Astyanax mexicanus: one gene and its partner. The protein of the gene in region 1 purifies or fractionates together with the protein of each later gene. This does not show direct contact. Links are inferred from orthologs where the notes say so. Each region holds a gene or a part of one and is shown in the gene's direction. Other genes may lie near its edges.

Region 1 (3,753 bases):
GTCACTGTCTGAAGGACAGGAATGAACCCTGTCATATCATGTAGGTCAAAGAGCAACATTACGACATCTGAACAAATAGAACCACCGTCAGACTGAAAGCCAATCATTTCAGTTTCGATCCACTGGCTAGTTTGTCTAATCAATTTTACTGATCACTAACTTTGTTTATTTGGGTTTATTCTAAATGTATAAGTGGTACAAACACACTTATTAATAAGATGCATATTTTTAAACCACTACTCATCTTTTTCAGACAAGTGCTGGAGGTGATGGCAGCGGTGAGGAACGAGGACCCTGTGGAGATGGCCAACACAATCTATCAGAACACACTGAAAGTGTTCTTCACTGGAAGCTGATATTACAGAAAGACTGGATCTAGTGTGACTCTATAACAGTATAAAATGGAACATATTTTAATAAATAAGTGAAGAAAACACTGTCTTGTCTTTTTTATATATTTAGCATTTCTACTGAAATCAATCAAGTTGTGTATATAGTGTAATTTTGCTAATAAATCATTATTTGATTTGTTTAATTTATTTTTTACCTTTATTTAACAAAGTAAAACTTGAAAAATGAGTTGGGCGATAATTTTAGAAAGATGTCAATGTTAACCATTAATTTGATTTGTTTAAGATTTTTTAAAATATATTTTAGATTCATATTTTAAGTTTGTTTAATTGATTTTTGTATATTTTCCGCATCTTTTCATTAGGTTTCGTTTCCTCCATATACTTTCGTGTGGCTCCGTTTATTTTCGTGTATTTGTATGTTTTGTGTATTTCCATTTGGCTGCATTTATTCGTATATTTTCGTTTGGCTTTGTTTATTTTTGTGCTTTTTAATATATATTTTTTGTTTGGCTCTCTTTACTTTGTGTGTTTTCATACCATTTCGTTTATTCTCGTTTATCTTCGTGTATTTCCTTTTGGTTTCGTTTATCTTCGTGTATTTCCTTTTGGTTTCGTTTATCTTCGTGTATTTCCGTTTGGCGTCGTTCCTTTTCGTTCATCTTCGTGTTTTTCCTTTTGGTTGTTACTTATTTTCGTTGATTCTCGTTCATCTTCGTGTGTTTCTGTGTATCTTCGTGTTTTTCCGTTTGGTTGTTACTTATTTTCGTTTATTCTCGTTTATCTTCGTGTGTTTCCGTGTATCTTCGTGTGTTTCCGTTTGGCTCCGTCAGCTCGGCTCGGCTGCGTTCGTCGCTGGATACGCTGTGACGTCGCGCGCTTCCGCGTTCTTCGCATAGCAACAGAGCGCGGAGGGAGCGGAGATGGCGGCCGGTGGCTGTCCGACTTAACAACAGCGGCGCGGAGAGAGAGCGCGAGACCCTGCCGGGGCAGGAGCGGCTGTACCCGGCGGCCACACCGCGGACATGGCCTCCACCGGCGGCCGGATCGGTCAGCAGGCCCTGGCGGTGCTGGAGGTGGCGCTGCGGGTGCCGTGTATCTTTATTATCGACGCCATTTTTAACTCTTACCACGACCCGGGAGCGGGCTGGGCCGGGACCGCGGGCCGTGTTCTAGGCCGAGTGCTGGGTAAGCTCAGGCGGACACCCCGCTGATTACATACCGTCGGCTGCTGCGGGTTCCTCCGGCAGGGCGGAGCGGACAGCGAGGCTCCGCGGGGCAGAGGAGCGCAGGGCCTACCTGCTACCGGGTAAAGCCGGTTTAGCTGCCAGAGCTCCGGTTCTTGGGGTCTGGTTAGGCTGTCAGAGCTCCGGCGGACAGGCTGGAGTCACAGCGGGGGCTCGTTGGGTGTTTTAGTGGGTTTGAGTTTGACAGGCAGCGCAGAGAGAGAGGCCCTAGCCTTTAGCCTGCCCCCTTTAACCCTGTTCAGCTCAGCTCAGCTCAGTTAGATAACCTATAGCTAACCCCAGATATAATAGAGGCCATTCATTGTATTGTGGACAGGTGTTTGTGCACCAATGTGGGAATATATATATAGATACCAAACATTAAAACACACATTGAATTATTTAGTAAACATTTCCTCAGTCAGGTTTATGAGGAAGAGTCACCTGGATTTTTAAGTTTTTTAGTCAACAGCTGTGCTGAACTCATCAAAAGTTAATTACTTGAATGTATTGCCTTTAAACTACCTTAATGTTAAGGTTTGAGATCATCAGTTGTAAAGTTGTGAAGAGGTAGAGTTGGTATACAGTGAGTAATGTTCTAAACCAAAATACCACCTAAAAGTAATTCACAGGAACATATGCAAGCAAACTAGGGGTGAAAAATATGAACAAAAATGCAGTTACCTCTGTTGGAGTTCCTGATGTCAGTGTAAAGCACAATAAAATAATGCTTTTGACATGTTCTGCAAATTCCAATAGACCTGCTGCAAAATTACTTTTATTTTGTAGCCCATGACGTTCCAAGAAAAGTATGTTTTTATCCAACATTAACAGTGGCTATGTTCACATTACCAGGCTGAAGTGACTTAAATAAGATTTTTTTCTCAGTGTGGCTCAGATCTTTTTTTTTTTTTTTTTTTTTTTTTGTAGCTGTTTGAGCAAGCCAAATCAGATTTTTTTTCCCCCAAATCAGGTTTGAGTCACTTTCATATGTGGTCCTAAATCAGATGCACTTCTGGCATATGCGTCATGAATGTGAACGGTCAAATCAAAATTTATGCGTTTTTTGCATTCATGCATGCATGCTTCTCTCTCGTACCCACACATCTCTTGGTGCAGCTGTGCAGCTATAGCTGCAAAAACAGCAAAAGCAAACCACCTGACCTTTTTTCACCTCCTTGACCTGAGCATGAACTTCAGACCAGCTGTTTGCTCTTAAGTGGCCATTCCAAACCTGTATAGAGATGTGAAACACAGTGTAGCAATTAACTAAGTTACATTAAACGATATTAAAAGAAGAATGTAACTGTTAAGTCTATATAATATAAACACTATTATTTTAATAATGTAAGTTTGAGTGTTCCTTGTATAGTTACAACATTTTATATTTAAACTACAATTTTTATTGTAACCGAAATTAACCAAATTAATACATTTTGAATCGGGTCTAATCGAACTGGGAAATCAGTGACAATACCCACACCTAGTGGTTTCATTTTATTCCAGAGCTGTATGTTTGGTGTTTAATACATTTTAGTCTGGTTAGTTTTCGGTTCAAACTGCAGTTTATTGAAAAGACTAAAGAACTGGTGGGCTGTATCTTCCTATATTTCACACCTAATTTGTTGTAGAATATGAATCATGAATCTATGTCAGACCAAACTGATAAGTCTACAGCTCCAGTAGATGTGAAAGCACCCTTGGTTTGCCAACTAGACAAGTCCGTTTAATTTGGTGTGTAACAGTTTATCATTATAGAACAATATACACTGTATTGCCAAAAGTATTCACTCTCCATAGCAAATAATTCAGTCCAGGTTCCAAGTACTTCCACAGGTCCACAGGTGATTAATGAAAGCAGCATATAGTCATGCAGACTGCTTCTACAAACATAAGTGAAAGAATGGATCTCAGGCACTCAGGAGCTCAGTTAACTCCAGCATTGTGGTACAGTAATAGGATGGTGCAACAAGTCAAACTTCATGTAGCTTCAGAGTTCATCATCACTACACACCCCCAAACTTCATGTAGCTTCAGAGTTCATCATCACTACACACCTCCAAACTTCATGTAGCTTCAGAGTTCATCACTCACTACACACCCCCAAACTTCATGTAGCTTCAGAGTTCATCACTACACACCTCCAAACTTCATGTAGCTTCAGAGTTCATCACTCA
Region 2 (3,753 bases), on another chromosome or scaffold:
GTTCATGCAGTAGTCAAAGTGTTAAAGCAATGCATTAATAAAATGTATTTGACAACTAAGCTGTCTAAACAGTGAATTTAATTATTATTTAATGTAAAAACCATATGCATATATCCACATAATAATCTCATAGTAGTTTACCCTTAAATAAACCAGTCTACAAAAACAGTACCAGAAACAGCGTTTAATTCTAAAAAAAAGTGTTAAACTGAATTGGTGCATGAAAACAAAAATAAATATGTTACAATGGATTACAATGGATATTACGTATTTTGTGATTATTATTTCTAAATGTTTTGTTGCACATAACACTGTTTGAGAGCTGTTGTCCATCAGAATAGTTTATAAACCAATTAAACAGTATATTTTTACTGTTTAAGGATGGTTTATAAAATAAACACACACAGGCTTTCAATGCTTTCGAAATTATTAAATATTTTATTTAATTTGATTTATTTGCTATATAGATTTTATAGTAGATATTAGAGTCTTCTTTTCTGCTCACTACAGACAGAAAACAGCATTCTTAAATTTTTTGTTCATCACTGGAGATAATCCAGGTCTGAAAAGGTTCATTTAAGCGCAGATAAATTAAATAAAGACGTTTAAAATATAAAATATAGGGCCTTCCACTTTGTATATGAATCAATTGCTTGAATGAATCAATTGAGTCGGTTCATTAACCCGAACCCACTCTCCTCATCATCGCTCCATAAACGCGCTAGTGGCCCCGCCCACTTCACGCTAAGCCCCTCCTCTCCTCCACGTCACATTGGGTGGTGTGTGGCCACGTCATATCGGCCGCCGCGCTGTGATTGGTCGGTTCGGCTCACCAGACACCACGGCGCTTCGTTTTTCTTTGCAGGGCGCGTGAGGAGCTGAGAACGGGAACAGGCTTGGGAGGAAATGAGCTTTTACTTTTAGTTTTATTTCATTAAAACAACGCCTCAGTTAGAAAGTTAAAGTATGTAACCAGAAACAAACAGTAGAAAAGAGTCTGCAAATATAGGGTTTATTTTTTTCGACATTTAAAAAGAAGATCAGGAGTGAAACCGAGAAGAAATCGAGGTAAGTTTTAAAAATTATCAGCAGATTCTTTATAGAGAAACTATGGCTCATCATTTTCTGCTCACTAAAAATAACAGATGTGTTATGACTAAAGCTTCTTCTTTTTTTCTCGCTATTACCTTATATTTTGATTAGCATTATTAATCCCAAACTATTATCTTCAAATCCTCAGTTTCCTCTTCTTTTTTAACCTTATTTTGGTGAATAAAAACATCAGTAGTTGTTTAACCTCATGTTGTTGTGGTCCTAACTGGCTAAAGCTTTAATAGTTAAACGTTATTTTTCTAATTTTTCCTTTTTTTCATTGTCATTAAATCTCCACTTTCCCCGATTATACCTCATAGTATGGTCAATATAACGTTAACTAGTTTTCTCATAATTTTCATATTTTATATTTATTTATGTTAGCCATATAATCTACACCTCCCTCAGTTTTAAGTTACATCCTGTTTTGGGAGTTATCTAGTTAACCTAAGCATTAGAAGCTGATATCTCATTTTTTAAGATTTATGTTTATACTTATATAATATTTTGATCAACACATCACTAAGAGGTCTCCTTTTACGTTGAGTTTATTAAGTGTTTGGCATGTTTAAAGCTTGTGTTATTTTTCTCTCTTTAAGTCATCTGTACTTTGTGGTCTGTTATTATACTTCTTATTGTGTCTTTTCTCATTTCCACTTTGCATTTTGGTCATTAAAACTTTACATCACTATTTTTTATTTTATGTTTTGCCTTGAAAGCTTAAGTTTTCTCATTTTTACTTTGTATTCTGGTCATTAAAGCTTTTGTTCACAGATGTTTTAAATGTTATTTAACATGTATCTCCCTCTTTCTCTCGGTAGAGCCCCATGCCTAAGCTGGAGGACCGCTGCTGGAGCTGCTCTTGTTCCCCCGGTATGAAGTCGGAAGGGTTCCCGCTGGCCTCCAGGGCCCGGGAGGTGATGTCCGGGGTGGCCGGGTCTGTGAGCGAGGCTTTCGCCTCTGTCCGCCGGCTCCACTCCACCAACCTGGTCCGCCGCGGTCTGGTTCTGTTCACCGTCGGCGTTTTCCTCGCTCTGGTGCTTTACCTGCTGCAGATACGGAAAAACGTCGTGCTGTTTCCAGAAGAAGCTCTGGACACGTTATATTCCTCCTCGTGGTGGATCCCTCTGGGGTGCGGAACCGCAGCCGGTGAGTGAGAGACTGAGCTGGAGTTTATTCTATTGTTTTAAAAATTCCACCTTAAAAAGCAGCTGGTACGTTGTGTCGGGTGGGTGGAATACGTGGAGAATGTATGGGGTGAATAGGCTTTTTAAGGTGGAACGGATAGTTTGTATAGGAAGCTGTTATTGTTATTGTGTTGTATATTGAGTTGTAGAACATTAACCCACAACGTTTCTTTAGTATTTAACATTTTAGTTTAATCAGTTATTAAGCATGAATATACACATAAATGGCTAAAAATACCTTAACTTACACAAGTACCTTAAAAATTAGCCGGAGGCTAGCTTGCTTGCTAGCTCAGGTGTTTTGTTTTAAAGCCAATCAAGGCGTAAATTACTTAATTGACATCGTTAATTGACATCGTCACCCACTAATTAGTGTTAAATTAGTATAAAAATGCTTGTATGTAAAGTATAGCGTTCTACAGTGTGTTAATGTATCTCTACGCACATGTAAAGATGCTGCTTTAGGACAGCTCAGTTTGTTTTCCGACTCGCGTTCGGCAGCTGCTCTGCTCGCGTCGCTTAGCAACAGCCGGTGGGAGGAGCCAGCGCGGGTCAGTCTAGGTGTGCTGCGTTCTGATTCGCTCCTGTAGAACGGGTGAGCTGCCAGGTCGCCACGCGATTGGCCGGCGCGCTAAACATGCCACTCATCAAAGCAGAAATCTAACGTTGGCGTCACCAGGCAACGCCCGCCCGCCGCATTCCACGCATACGCAGATCTGGCGGGAAATCCAGTTCCAAAACAAAATTTTTGACTTGTCTTTTTATTTCATATTATATAATAAAGAATTGATTTATAAATCAAGCATTTATATTGGATCTGTTGTAGGTGAAGACATACATGTAAGTGAATGATAATACTTTAATTAATTAATTAATGATTTATTATTTTTAATCTTGTGTATACACTACGGCTGCACCTCAAATGGCTCCCTACTCCCTGTGTAGTGAACAATGCAGAAAACGACAGATTTGACTTGTTTAAAAGAGTTTATTAAATACAGCCATGTTTAATCATGCACCTACACAAACACACACACACTTTTCAGTAATATAATTTGTTATAATAGTACTGGAGTACAAATATCATTAAATTAGTCACTAAATTATAACCAAGCTAGGCAGAGTGTCAAATGACTCCATGCACCCTCCCTAGTGCACCATACTTAAAATAGTACACTAAATGTGATGTAAATACTCTGTCTACTGTTCTATATGGTTCTAATGGGTATATTCACTGTACGTCATTTGTATGGGGGTCTAACACCTTCTGTTTCTGTTTCCTCAGCTGTGGTTGGCTTGTTATACCCGTGCCTGGACAGCCACCTCGGTGAGCCTCACAAGTTCAAGAGGGAGTGGGCCAGCGTCATGCGATGCATCGCCGTGTTTGTGGGCATCAACCACGCCAGTGCTGTATCCTCATCAAACACCAAATTGACATGCATTCTAAACTAATAACTTGTTTATTTTACATGAA

What was found. The genes of interacting proteins can lie anywhere in the genome.
Region 2: the proteins of rnf139 (region 1) and insig1 purify together in Homo sapiens (affinity purification with western blotting, with the first as the bait; 3 studies listed by BioGRID). This does not show direct contact. The link is inferred for Astyanax mexicanus from reciprocal best matches to the Homo sapiens genes RNF139 and INSIG1.

Annotation. Positions count from the first base shown.
Region 1 is NC_064409.1:74,244,675-74,248,427, forward strand, and holds the start of rnf139 (E3 ubiquitin-protein ligase RNF139), read left to right. Parts: upstream 1-1,209; 5' UTR 1,210-1,375; coding exon 1,376-1,538; intron 1,539-3,753. Other genes in the region: deoxyribonuclease TATDN1, read left to right, coding at 1-40, 254-356. UniProt on the Homo sapiens protein: E3-ubiquitin ligase; acts as a negative regulator of cell proliferation through mechanisms involving G2/M arrest and cell death.
Region 2 is NC_064415.1:58,135,152-58,138,904, reverse strand, and holds the start of insig1 (insulin-induced gene 1 protein), read left to right. Parts: upstream 1-844; 5' UTR 845-1,068; intron 1,069-1,913; 5' UTR 1,914-1,919; coding exon 1,920-2,241; intron 2,242-3,564; coding exon 3,565-3,689; intron 3,690-3,753. UniProt on the Homo sapiens protein: Oxysterol-binding protein that mediates feedback control of cholesterol synthesis by controlling both endoplasmic reticulum to Golgi transport of SCAP and degradation of HMGCR.